3 linked regions of the Canis lupus familiaris genome follow. The protein of the gene in region 1 interacts with the protein of each later gene in a pairwise test. Links are inferred from orthologs where the notes say so. Each region holds a gene or a part of one and is shown on either strand. Other genes may lie near its edges. The genes, in order: UBE2W, RNF26 and RNF111.

The links.
Region 2: the proteins of UBE2W (region 1) and RNF26 interact in a two-hybrid assay, tested with the Homo sapiens proteins (2 studies listed by BioGRID and IntAct). The link is inferred for Canis lupus familiaris from reciprocal best matches to the Homo sapiens genes UBE2W and RNF26.
Region 3: the proteins of UBE2W (region 1) and RNF111 interact in a two-hybrid assay, tested with the Homo sapiens proteins (2 studies listed by BioGRID and IntAct). The link is inferred for Canis lupus familiaris from reciprocal best matches to the Homo sapiens genes UBE2W and RNF111.

The regions. Positions count from the first base shown.
Region 1 is NC_049250.1:22,845,517-22,849,164, forward strand, and holds part of UBE2W (ubiquitin-conjugating enzyme E2 W), read right to left. Parts: intron 2,141-3,648; coding exon 2,038-2,140; intron 1-2,037. UniProt on the Homo sapiens protein: Accepts ubiquitin from the E1 complex and catalyzes its covalent attachment to other proteins.
Region 2 is NC_049226.1:14,590,662-14,594,993, forward strand, and holds RNF26 (E3 ubiquitin-protein ligase RNF26), read right to left. Parts: upstream 2,855-4,332; 5' UTR 2,268-2,854; coding exon 963-2,267; 3' UTR 47-962; downstream 1-46. UniProt on the Homo sapiens protein: E3 ubiquitin-protein ligase that plays a key role in endosome organization by retaining vesicles in the perinuclear cloud.
Region 3 is NC_049251.1:24,296,024-24,299,671, reverse strand, and holds part of RNF111 (E3 ubiquitin-protein ligase Arkadia), read right to left. Parts: intron 2,980-3,648; 5' UTR 2,961-2,979; coding exon 2,081-2,960; intron 1-2,080. UniProt on the Homo sapiens protein: E3 ubiquitin-protein ligase. Required for mesoderm patterning during embryonic development. Acts as an enhancer of the transcriptional responses of the SMAD2/SMAD3 effectors, which are activated downstream of BMP.

The sequences.
Region 1 (3,648 bases):
GATAGGTGGGACAATAACTCAAGAAAAATTTTTTTTTACTTATTTTGTTACTGGAAAAGATTGAGTTTAGATGTGTTAAATTTGAGACATCTGGAGATACCCAAGTAGCTATATCCAACAAGGGTGTGAAATTAAACCTCAGAAAGAAGAGGCTGTACACAGAGCTGTAGATCTGGGAGGTAGCTGTTTAAGACAGATGAAGACTTTAGAGAAAAGAGTGAGAAGAATAAGGGACTACTGAATAAAGAACCCAGAGAACACCAAAATCAGAAGAATTAGAAAAAGTGGACAGAAGTCAAAACAGGGAAGGAAAAAAAAAAGAATTTAAGAAAGGATGACAGAATCCATTACGAACACTGTAACTTACAGAAATATTAAGAGATGAAATTCAGATGATGTGTCAAGAGTTCTATATCTGATTTAAAATTAAATACTGGGCAGCCCCGGTGGCTCAGCAGCTTAGCGCCACCTTCAGCCCAGGTGGTGTGATCCTGGAGTCCCAGAATCGAGTCCCACATTGGGCTCCCTGCATGGAGCCTGCTTCTCCCTCTGCCTGGGTCTCTGCCTCTCTCTCTCTGTGTCTCTCATGAATAAATAAATAAAATCTTTTTAAAAAATAAATTAAATTAAATACTAAGAGGATTAGAGGATACTTTTGACTTGGTTCATGTTTATAAAATATTATTTTCCTCTGATGAAAAATCTGTGGGCTCCCAGAGTAAGCCTTCTCCAGTATCTCCCTAAGTCAACAGTTTGGAGTTGGTGAGTCACATTCTTTCCTCACATACCTTCAACAAACTTAGTTGAAGTATAAAAACAGGCTGAAGGTGACAAGGGAATGCCTGCGACCCCACTGCCTTCAAGGATTAACAATCTTAAATGATGCTGATAAGCAAAAAGGCTATAAAACGTGAAGGTCATTTTCTAGAGAGATGATGTTTGTTTTGCTTTCTTATCAGTCTACACATGCTTACTATAAAGGCCTAGAGGTCATGATAACACATAACTCTTAGTTTTATTTTTAATTTTTATGAAAATGATAAAAATGAGCTTCCTAATCTTAGTTTCCTGCTCACACAAAAACTGAACTCAAGTCCATTTCCATTTAATTCTGTATCTTTATTTAAAAAATTATCTCTTTTATTTATAGCACAATCAATAACTGACTTCCATCTATATGCCTACATGGCCAAGGATATTGTTTATATTCTATTTAAAGTTGCAACGGATTATTTTTCTCAAAAAAAAAAAAGTATTTGAGCACTTCACAAGTTGAGTTTTAGATACTTGAGAAGTTTCATTATCCAGAACCTCATTATCTAGCAGTACCAGATAGAATTGGCATTAAGTCTCAACATTTTGCTGCCAGTAACTCATTTACCCATCTTACCAAGCCAGAAATCTGGAAGTCATCCTAGAATCTCCTTTTCTCTAACTCCCAAAGATTAATCATTCACCACAGTTAAACAGCTCCCAAAAAAGTTCCTCAACCACCATTATCCCTTGTCTGAGTATTAACCATTTACCTAAACTAACTGTGCCTCAAATTATAATGATCAGATTTGGGGCTTATGTTTAGATATTTAACATTTGGTAATATATTCTATCTTTACAGTACTAAAAGACTGTAAGTATAGCATGTCAATGCAAAATCAAAGAACTGTTCCTTTCAACAAAGCACCTGACTTATCACATGATCATTCTATCATCTTATCTAGGAATAAGTGCCTCCAGTTATTCCAAAATGCTATATTCTCCCACAACCCATAGGCCTGAGTTAGATTTTCCATCCCCTTTTCTGCTAACATTTATACATAAAAAACAATGTTAATTTCTTAAAGCACAAAAGTAGCAAACCCTAATCTCAATAAAGGAAAATGTTCATAAAGATCTTGATTATATTACAGATAAAGGAACAAATCTATTCATATAATTATAATGAATTTCTTTATAAATTTGTATTTAGTCAAAAGTCACTAATTTAGTATTTTGCTAAAATCTAAAAATACAATAAAATGTTAAAAACATGGCAGTTACCTGAGGAGAGTCAAAAGGATATCGACTACTAAACTTAAATAGAAGCTGAAATTTTTCCCCTTCATATAAGGTACCTGGTGCACCTTCCATGTCTACGATCCACCTAGAATAGGAAAAAAAACAAAAACAAAAAAACTTCAGATAAGAAGAATTGGGGTGAGAAAGAAAAGGGAAGACTGAAGACTTCCTTTAAGCCAGGCATTGGGATAGGAGTCATTCATGTGTAACAGTGCACTTCATTCTCCCAACAATTAGAGTTGGTATCAACACCCCTTGCCCTATATCCTTCTCTGACGCTCAAAGGTTAAGTAACTAGATCAAAGTCAGGCAACTAGCAAAGGACAGAGCCAAATTTTAATCCAGGTCTAAGAACACAAAATGAAAACCCTACTCAAGTGTGCTGACACCAAATCCTGCACTCTTGATACTCAATTTATGCTGTCTTATTTTTCCAAAACAGTATTTCCACAATGACTGAAAAGATTTTATATAGATAATATCAAACTAATGAACTGCCCATCTGATATCACTTTAAAAGCAATGGACGAAGTAGGTATCAAAAATGACTAGAGAATTTGTGGCTGTTAGATCTATCTTCTCGTCAGTGTTCTAGAGACCAAAGGAAAAAGCAGCTAAACTAACATTAGTCCACTTACTCTGATAGCTACTCAAGGCTCTATACTGTCTTTCCTTTGTCTGTTTCAGGTATTTAATGAAACTCAGAAGAGATTTCCATGGCCTCTTTACAAGCTTACTTTGTTTCCACATATAATAATCATGAATACAAATCTCTTTTTTTTTTTTTTTAAATTTTTATTTATTTATGATAGTCACACACAGAGAGAGAGAGAGAGAGGCAGAGACATACGCAGAGGGAGAAGCAGGCTCCATGCACCGGGAGCCCGACGTGGGATTCGATCCCGGGTCTCCAGGATCGCGCCCTGGGCCAAAGGCAGGCGCCAAACCGCTGCGCCACCCAGGGATCCCTACAAATCTCTTTTAAATTATAACCTGTACACTTATCTCTTGTTTATTTATTTAAAGTAAGCTCTACACCCAGCAAGGAGCTTGAACTCACAACCCCGAGATCAAGAGTCACATGCTCTATCAACTGAGCCAGCCAGGACCCCCTATCTCTTGCGCTTTAAAAAAAAAAAAAAAAGGAGGGGAAGGAGTCTTTTCTCCCTCTCCCTTTCCCTCTGCCCCTCCCCCTGCTTATGCTCTCTCTCTCTCTCTCTCTCTCTCTCGCAAATAAATAAATCTTAAAAATAAATGAAATAAATAAATTTCAAAAAAGGGAAACTGGGGTGCCTGGATGCCTCAGTCAGTTAAGCATCCAACTCTCCATTTCAGCTCAAGTCATGATCTCAGGGTCCTGAAATCAAGCCCCTCCAAACCTAGTGTGGAGCCTGTTTAAGATTCTCTCTCTTCCTCTGCTCCTTCCTACCACTCATGCACGCATTCTCTCTCTAAAAAATTAATTAAAAAAAAATAGATAAAATTTTAAAAAGGGGATAGGAGTAGAAAATGATTTTTTTAAAAGGATTAATGGTGGCAAAGATGATGGGGCCACACTGAGAAGCAAAAGTGGACCAACCATAAGAATGAGTT
Region 2 (4,332 bases), on another chromosome or scaffold:
GCTGACCAACTGCTCAGCCCTGTTAGGATGCACACAGAGGCCATCAGAGCTGTCAACAGAAATTTATTCACCAGAAACATGGCCAGACAGACCCATCAGGGAGCTGCATACCCCTAGGCTGGCCCCTTCTGTATTTGGACCCTAGTGAAATAAATGTGTACAGTCTGCTTCTCCCCGATGTCAGGGAGAGACAGAGGGGAAATACTATTGTTCTCTGTGATGTGGGAATGAAAGGGGTAGGAGTGGAAATCTGGTATCCCTCCTGAGGCTCCCAGTGGTGCTGGGGTGCCAGAGGGTAATGTGGTCCCAAAGCCAGGTGCAGACACCCATCTCACCCCAAGGGGTAAACTCTTGATCCTAGCTGTTGGATCTGGTTGGGAGGGAGTCTCATAAGATCAAGATGGACAGAAATGGTAACTCTCAAGGCACCTGAGAGATACTATCCCCTAGGCCTACCAGTGCACACAGGTGCTCCGAGTGAAAGCAAAGGTTCAAGTTCATTTCAAGGCCCTTGAGTTACCAAAACATCCAAATGACAGTGATGTGTTGTGGCTGCTGAAGCTGGGGAGGGAATGGGGAAGAGTCAGGGAGAGGACTTGCAAATCCTCAACAGAAAAACCAGAAGTAGAGGGGGAGCCCCAGAGATTGGCATCTGGATGGGCCCCGGCAAGCTGGAGGGGAGTCCCCAACAGCCTCGGGGCCTTGCATAGTGACACACTCACCACCTCCGGCATCACCGGGACGCACTGGGTAAGGAGAAGCTGTTACCCTGCCCCACCCAGCTCATAGTCTTCCAGAGTATCCTATCTCAATGTCCTGGAGATATGGCCTGGAGGCTTGGCATGACAGCCATGGGGGCAGGAGGGGATACAGGCCAGGAACCAGGAGGTCAGGTGTTAAAGCTGTCCTAGCGCAGGTGGCTTCATGGAGCATGAAAAAGTGGGCTGGCAGGGAAGGAGTCTTCAGAGGTAGACATTGAGGGTCTGCAGAATGCCCCGGCGGCAGAGTGGGCAGTTGCGGTGGTAGACGGGGTGACGCATCAGGATCTCAGTGCAAGCCTGGCACAGGCACAGGTGCCGGCAGGGCAGAAGCAGCACCGTCTTGCTCTGGTCCTGGCAGATGACACACTTTTTCCGCTCCTCTTGCTCCTTGAGCAACTTCCACGGGTCTTGCCCAGCTACAGACTCCTCCTCGTTGAGCCTCTCCCGGCCACGGGCAGCTGTTGCTCTGGCCATCCTGACCTCTTCCTCCTCTTCTGCCTCTGATCTGGGCCCTGCTTCAGGAAGAGTGTCCTGTCGCCAGGTCCTGGCTGGGGGCACCCTCCTAGGGCCACCCTGAGGGGCCCCAGGCGCCCCTCCCCGGTTTGGCCAGGTGGCCAGCTGCAGGCTGCGGCTCCAGACTCGACGCCAGGCCTCCAAGTCCAGGGCTAGGCGAGACAGCCGCACGACATCCTCTCGGAGCCGGTGATAAGATGGCCGGGCATGGAGCTGACTGAGTGCCCGGGTGGCCAGTCTCAGGGTGAGGTCCGGGTGCAACACGGTCACCATCACTGCCAGCACGCAAGCCAGCAGCACCAGGCCGGTGACATTGACGAGCACGAAGTTGGTCAGGAGGCGGGCAGCTGACGCTAGGAGCTCCAGTGCTAGCTGGCAGGGGGTCCAGAGGAGGATGGCCATGGCCACGGCACTGCTGGAAATGTGGGCTAGGAAGGCAGCTACAACGTCCGTCATCCTCCACAGCGGCCCCATCACTGCATCCCACAGGGCCAGCATTAGGGAGAAAAGGTTCTGAGTGCCTATGAGGCAGATGTTGACCAGGCTGTTGATCACATAGGCCACGAGGCTCATGGCAATGGCACAGATGTCACAGGCCTGGCGCAGCAAAGCATGACCACTGGAGACCACATTGAGCACCCCCCGGTGCAGGATCTCCCGGCTCCTCAGTGCCCCGTGAGAGGCCAGGTGCCCCAGGAGCTTTAAGCTCTCCAGGCCAGAGTAGCAGCTGTACAGCAAAGTACACAAGGCCTGCAAGCCCCCAAAGGTGAAACGGACCAAGGCTTCGATCAAGGCCAGCAACGAAAGCAGGACTCCGCGGCCCAAGTGCAAAAGACTAGTCAGTACCGTGTGTGGCAGGTTGTAGATGAAGGCCAGCAGCCAGGCCAGGGAAGCCAGGAGGGAGGACACCAGCAGGAAGTTGAGGTCCAACACCAAGGTCAGCAGGTCCAGCACAAGGCCCACCCCATTCACTATCAGGTACACAGCCTCCATGATAGGGCTGTGGAGGTTAATCCGAAAGGAAAGCTGGCTCCAGGTTGAGGGCGGGTGTCAAGGCTGCTAATGTTTGGGGGCGTCAGGGGTCAATCTGGAAGGGAAGTGAGCAGTCTCCAAGCCAGAGAGAAGCAAGAATCTGAGCAAGAAACGGGTGAGAGCGAGGTGGAGTCTCAGTGGAGGGAAAAGGGGGCCAGACGCCGGTCCAGGAGTCCCGGTTTGGACGCCAGGCTGTCTGGGAGGGAAGAAGCCAAACATCTCTAAAGTGGAGGTGAGCCCGGGCCGGAGGAGGGAGCTCAGCTTTGGAGGCCAGGTGGCGGCGAACCACGGCCGGGCAGTGGGTCAGACCGAGAGGAGACCGGGAACGGATGGTGTCGGGCCGGGGCCGGGTGGGGGCGGCGCAGGCTGGGCGCGGGCTCGCGGTCCAGCTACGCAGGTACCCCTGTCCCCGCCCGGCCCCCGTCCTCTGGGCTCGCGACTCTTTGCGTCCAAAGGGGTCGTGGGAAAGGGAGTCAGCCTCAGCAAACCCCAAGCGCGGCCTCTACTCCGCTGGGCGCCGCCATCTTGTGTGCGAAGGGGCGGGGCAAAAAGCGTGATAGGGAGGGCGGGACGACGAGCTCCGACCAATCGTTGAGGAGCAGCCGCAGGAAACCTCGAGCATTCATTGGGCCGTTTGAACGGCGCCCGAACGTATTTACTCTCCAAGGGGAAGGGCGGAGACAGATTGAAATCCCCGCCCCCTTGAGGCAGCGATTGGTCAGTTGAAGGGCAGAAGCGGACTAGGCCCTCCTCCTAGCCCCGCCCCCTAGCAAAGCAGGATTTGTTTGTTTGCACTGGGACCGGATACCTGTGCTGTTCTTGCTACTGGTCCCCGGGTCGTGAACCTTTTAGGTGAGAGTTGAAGGTTACTCTCTCTCTGAGCTGGGCTCTCGAATGACCGCCTCCACACCCTGCTCAGACTCGCGGCCTCGCCCTCCACTACTCATTCATTCATTCATTCATTCAGTCGCGTTTATCGAGCTCCGGCAAATAGAATGGAGACCCAAACACCAAAAATGTTTCAGGGTGTGCCTGCCCCCAAGCCGCTGCCAAGGGGAAACACGTTGTTACAGGGGATTCCCAAGCTGCTATTCCAAACTGTTTCCTCCAGCGTCATCAGCTTTTCTCAGCATCTTCAGGAGATTATCTCATTATGACAAGGAGGCCACAGACCAGAAATAGCTCACCCTCCTACACTAGCCCCTATTAATTTGTTTACTTGAGCATTCTAGTTAGATATGTACACCTGAGCGGCTCCAGGTTCCTCAATAAGTTATCCTTTCCTTTAATATTCCAAATGTATTTGAGACCCCATCCCAAATCTGTTGGGAAATCTGGTGTTCTCTAGTAATGCCAAGGATACTTGGGAGTCTTATCCTTCCCTCGGGTCACCATTGCTTTAATTTCCTGCTTATGTGAATGTTTTGTCCTCCCCCAGGCTTGGACACCTAAAAAACGTTTGTCCGGATTCACTCACCCAACCCCAAACACTGCCTGAATCCCTCTCTCCCCACAGCCCCCCTAATAGCAAGCTGAGTAGGGCAGCAAGCCTAAGTGGAGGTCCCACCAGGGGTCATAGCATGGTGCAGAGCAAGGGCTGCAGTTCCTAAAACTCCACTGGTTTTGCCCCAGCCTCTTTCTCACACCTGTCAGGCCCCAACTTAATGTTTTCTGATGGGTTTTCCCTTTCTCTTTCCTCTTCCCCTTCCTCTTCCTTGTCCTCATCCTCTTGGGATTTCCCCTCCCTTTTTCTAGCCCATCAGACTCCAACTTCCTATTTTGCTTTTTGATTTTACAGCATAGTCTGTCTCTACTCCCAACCCAATCTCAGCTCTAACCACAAAATGCTGATCTCTCTAACCAAGGGAGAATAACATAAAGATTTGTGTTATTGGGACGCCTGGGTGGCTCATCGATTGACATCTGCCTTCAGCTCAGGACCTGATTCTGGAGTTCCAGGATGGAGTCCCATATCGGGCTCCTGCAGGGAGCCCACTTCTCCCTCTGCCTATGTCTCTGCCTCTCT
Region 3 (3,648 bases), on another chromosome or scaffold:
TTTAACTAGCAAATTTTTAAATGCATGTAACTTCCTATTTACTTTTAGAAATTATGCCTTTATGCTTGCCTAGGTGTGCAAAACTGTGTGTACAAGGTAGTTCAATGCAGCAAACATCCATCAACAAAACCTGGCTAAATAAATTATGGAACATCCATACAAAGGAAATATTATGCAACCATTTTTTTCAAACGAGGCTATAACTACACACATTAGTAGTTTTTAAACCCCCATTATTTATTTACCCTTATATATGTTCCACATTTTCTGAAGGAGAGAAGAAACTAACTACTTCTAGGTAATAAAACTGGGACCTAAGAAGAAGTGGGAAACGTTTTTTTAATTTTAAACATTCTTGGTACTTTTAAAACTGCACACTATGTGAATGTTACTCTTAAACCATTATTTTAAAAAAAACAAATTAGTTTAAAACAGAACACTGGTCTAAAAACCAGAAAAAAATCAAAAGAATCTGTTTTAACATTTGGGTTTGTATTTCTAGAGACACACATTACTCTTAAGTGTCTCAAAATATTATATGTAGTTGAAAAAATGCAATTCTTCCAAGAAAGATAGCAAAAACCACATACTACAGTATTAAATAAGATTTCAAAATGAATTACAGAGTTTGCATTTATCTTGAATACTTGGGAGTATATGAACTCCTTTCTTCCTAGAAACAGGCACTGATACTGACCTACATTACCTCTATTCTCATGCCTCTTACAAATACCAGCTCCTTGGAACTTCTGCTTCACGTCTCCAACCATCCTGCCTCATTAATTTCAAGCAGAAATTGGGCTCTGCTGCTCCCTCTTCCCCAAACAAGTCTTCACATTCTAACCACCTGAGGAAAATGTGAAATGCGGCAACTAAGCAAGACAATTCCTATTCTCACTTCCCTGTATCTCAAGAAACCTCAGAGAATGGCTGTTGTAACCACCTCCCAACCTTGGGGGCTCTCAATGAACTCTTTAAAACAAATATTTGAGGAAGTTAAAAAAAAAAAATGAACTGATCATGGCTAAGACTAAAGATCAAAGTTATAGTTTTGGAGTTCTGGCAAAGATAGAAAAATAAAAAGAGGAAAGGAGTCTTGGAAAAAGAAGTAACCTATACAGAAGGAGAAAAGAAAGAGGGGAAAATGGCACAAGCAGGACATCAGGCAAAGACTGGGAAACCTTTGTGTCAGTATTAAAAACCATGATTGTAGCCCTCGAAAAAGCTCTCCTTAATGCCCCATTCTTTCATAAGAAATTAACCTTTTCCCTCAGTTCAGACTTTACTCCTCAATGCTCACTTCATCAACTTCCTTTAAATTACAGCAAATTTGTAAATGTAAAGTGGTAATATATGTAACATACTTATACTTCAGAGACTGCACATAATCTTATTCTAGCTAAATATAATATTTACTGTGAGGAGGGGAGAGTGCACTCAAACTGATCCTTATCAATTCAATTTTAACTGATCAATCATGTGCTCTACTGAGCACTGTCAAAACTAAAAGTTCTAGTATTAGAATAAAGGCATCTCTTAAATACTTGAAATTATTTTTCAATTACAAAGATCATGACAAGGTAATTAGTAAACAATAAGAATAGAATACTTAGGGCAGCCTGGGTGGCTCAGCGGTTTAGTGCCACCTTCAGCCCAGGGCGTGATCCTGGAGACCTGGGAAGGAGTCCGACCGATGTCAGGCTCCCTGCATGAAGTGTGCTTCTCCCTCTCCCTGTGTCTTTGCCTCTCATGAATAAATAAATAAATCTTTTAAAAAAAAATAGCGTACTTAAAGGAAAAACAATATTAAGTAATTTTTTTTTAGTGTTTTTACTCTCGTAGAATGTGAAAGATATCCATCACAGAGCTATCCAAAAAAGTATAAAATACAAAAATCTGGATCTTAGAATTGGAGTCATGGTTTGATTCTACAGTTGGTAATTTGTTCATATGGCTTAAAAATAAAAGTAAATTGAACCTCATATTCCTTCTAAAAGCAATAAAATCACTAAAATGTAGAAGAAAATTAAGCACAAACACAATGCTTTCATGTTTTGCTCAACTTAAGAAACATCTTTACCTGAGGGAACAGTTGGATTGTTTTGGTGGTTTTCACTGGTAGAAACAAACAAATCTTCTTCACCTTCAGTTGATGAGCTGGAAGAGGATTCGCTGCTGAGGTCATTCTCACTGGAACTACTAGAACTGGGGAGCAATGCATATTTTCTTCGGGCTAACACTTCTCTTTTTTTTCTCTGCATCAATATTCTCTCTTTTTGTTTCTGTGTCCTCTGTGAGGAATTATTTTTTACAAATCTCTTTCTGCATGGAAGTCTCCTTAATGAACTGCTATGAAAACAGGGTCTTTTCATTAACAATCCTGAAACAGATTCTGTCTCTGTCCGAGGCCACTTCTGGGACCGTGCACTATGAGTTCTACCTTTAGCGCTCAAAATTGCCTGGGAATGTCTTACAGAGACTTCTTTATCCTCATCCGAAGTCACAGTATCAGAATCTCCAAAATGCAGACTAGATGAAGGAGAAGAAAGACAGTCACTAAAAGAGGAATCATTATCTTCATCGCTTGGTGTTTCTAGATGTTGCCTCAATCCTAATATTCCCTGGTTCTCTTTAACACAATTTTGCATGTAAGAAGGGCCAGCCTGCTGGCTTTTGCGTTTTTTCCTCACAACAACACTTTTTTCTTGCTCTTGTTGGTTACCATTCATGTCCTTCTCTTGTTTTTGAGAATCATCACACAAATGAGAGAATTCATTTCCCACTTTACTGTTAATCATCTCAACTCCCGCAGGAAAACTTTTGGCTGCCCCAATGGGCTCTGGATGCAAGAGGATCCCTTTCAGACTCTCCTGTGTCTTTTGCGCATCAGAAGGAATCTCACTCTTCATATCCACTTTTAAGGTATAGAGCTTGTTATATTCAGGAGTCCATTGAGACATGGGAAACTTTAAGGAAGGCCTAGAAGACATAATTAGAGATTTAAAAGAAAGTTAATGTGTTTTATTATTAACTGAAGAGTTTCAGATTCCACTGAGAACACTAATAGCATACCTTTTCCTGATATACCAAGATATAAAATGGCTACAATAAGTAATTTTACTGTTCTTTTACAATATTTTTCTCTGATACCTCTACCACATACCCAACTTTTAGAAGTGAAGATCACAAACCTACCTGAACATAAGCCTACTTGAAAACTTCTATTAACCAAAGACTTACCTTGCTGTATAATCTTCCTATCTCCAGCAACATATTTGGTTAAAACCTAACAATTTCTTTAAAACCTATTATAGTAAAAATAGATTAAAAGACTAGAATTCAAAAGACTTTGACTAGACACTTTTTCTCCCAGTATCCTGAAAGTAGTAATTAAATATTTTTTGTACATCTAGATGGTTACTGTATTAGATTGCTAAAAATAATTAACTAGTATAAATATAGCTTCTCTTCGGGGCACCTGGGTGGCTCAGTCAGTTGAGCAACTGCCTTCAGCTCAGGTCATGATCCCAGTCCTGGGATCAAGCCCCGTGTTTGGCTCCCTGCTCAGCAGACAGTCTGCTTCTCCCTCCTCCCTCTGCAGCTCCCCCTGGTTGTGCACTTGTATGCAAGCACACTCTGTCAAATAAA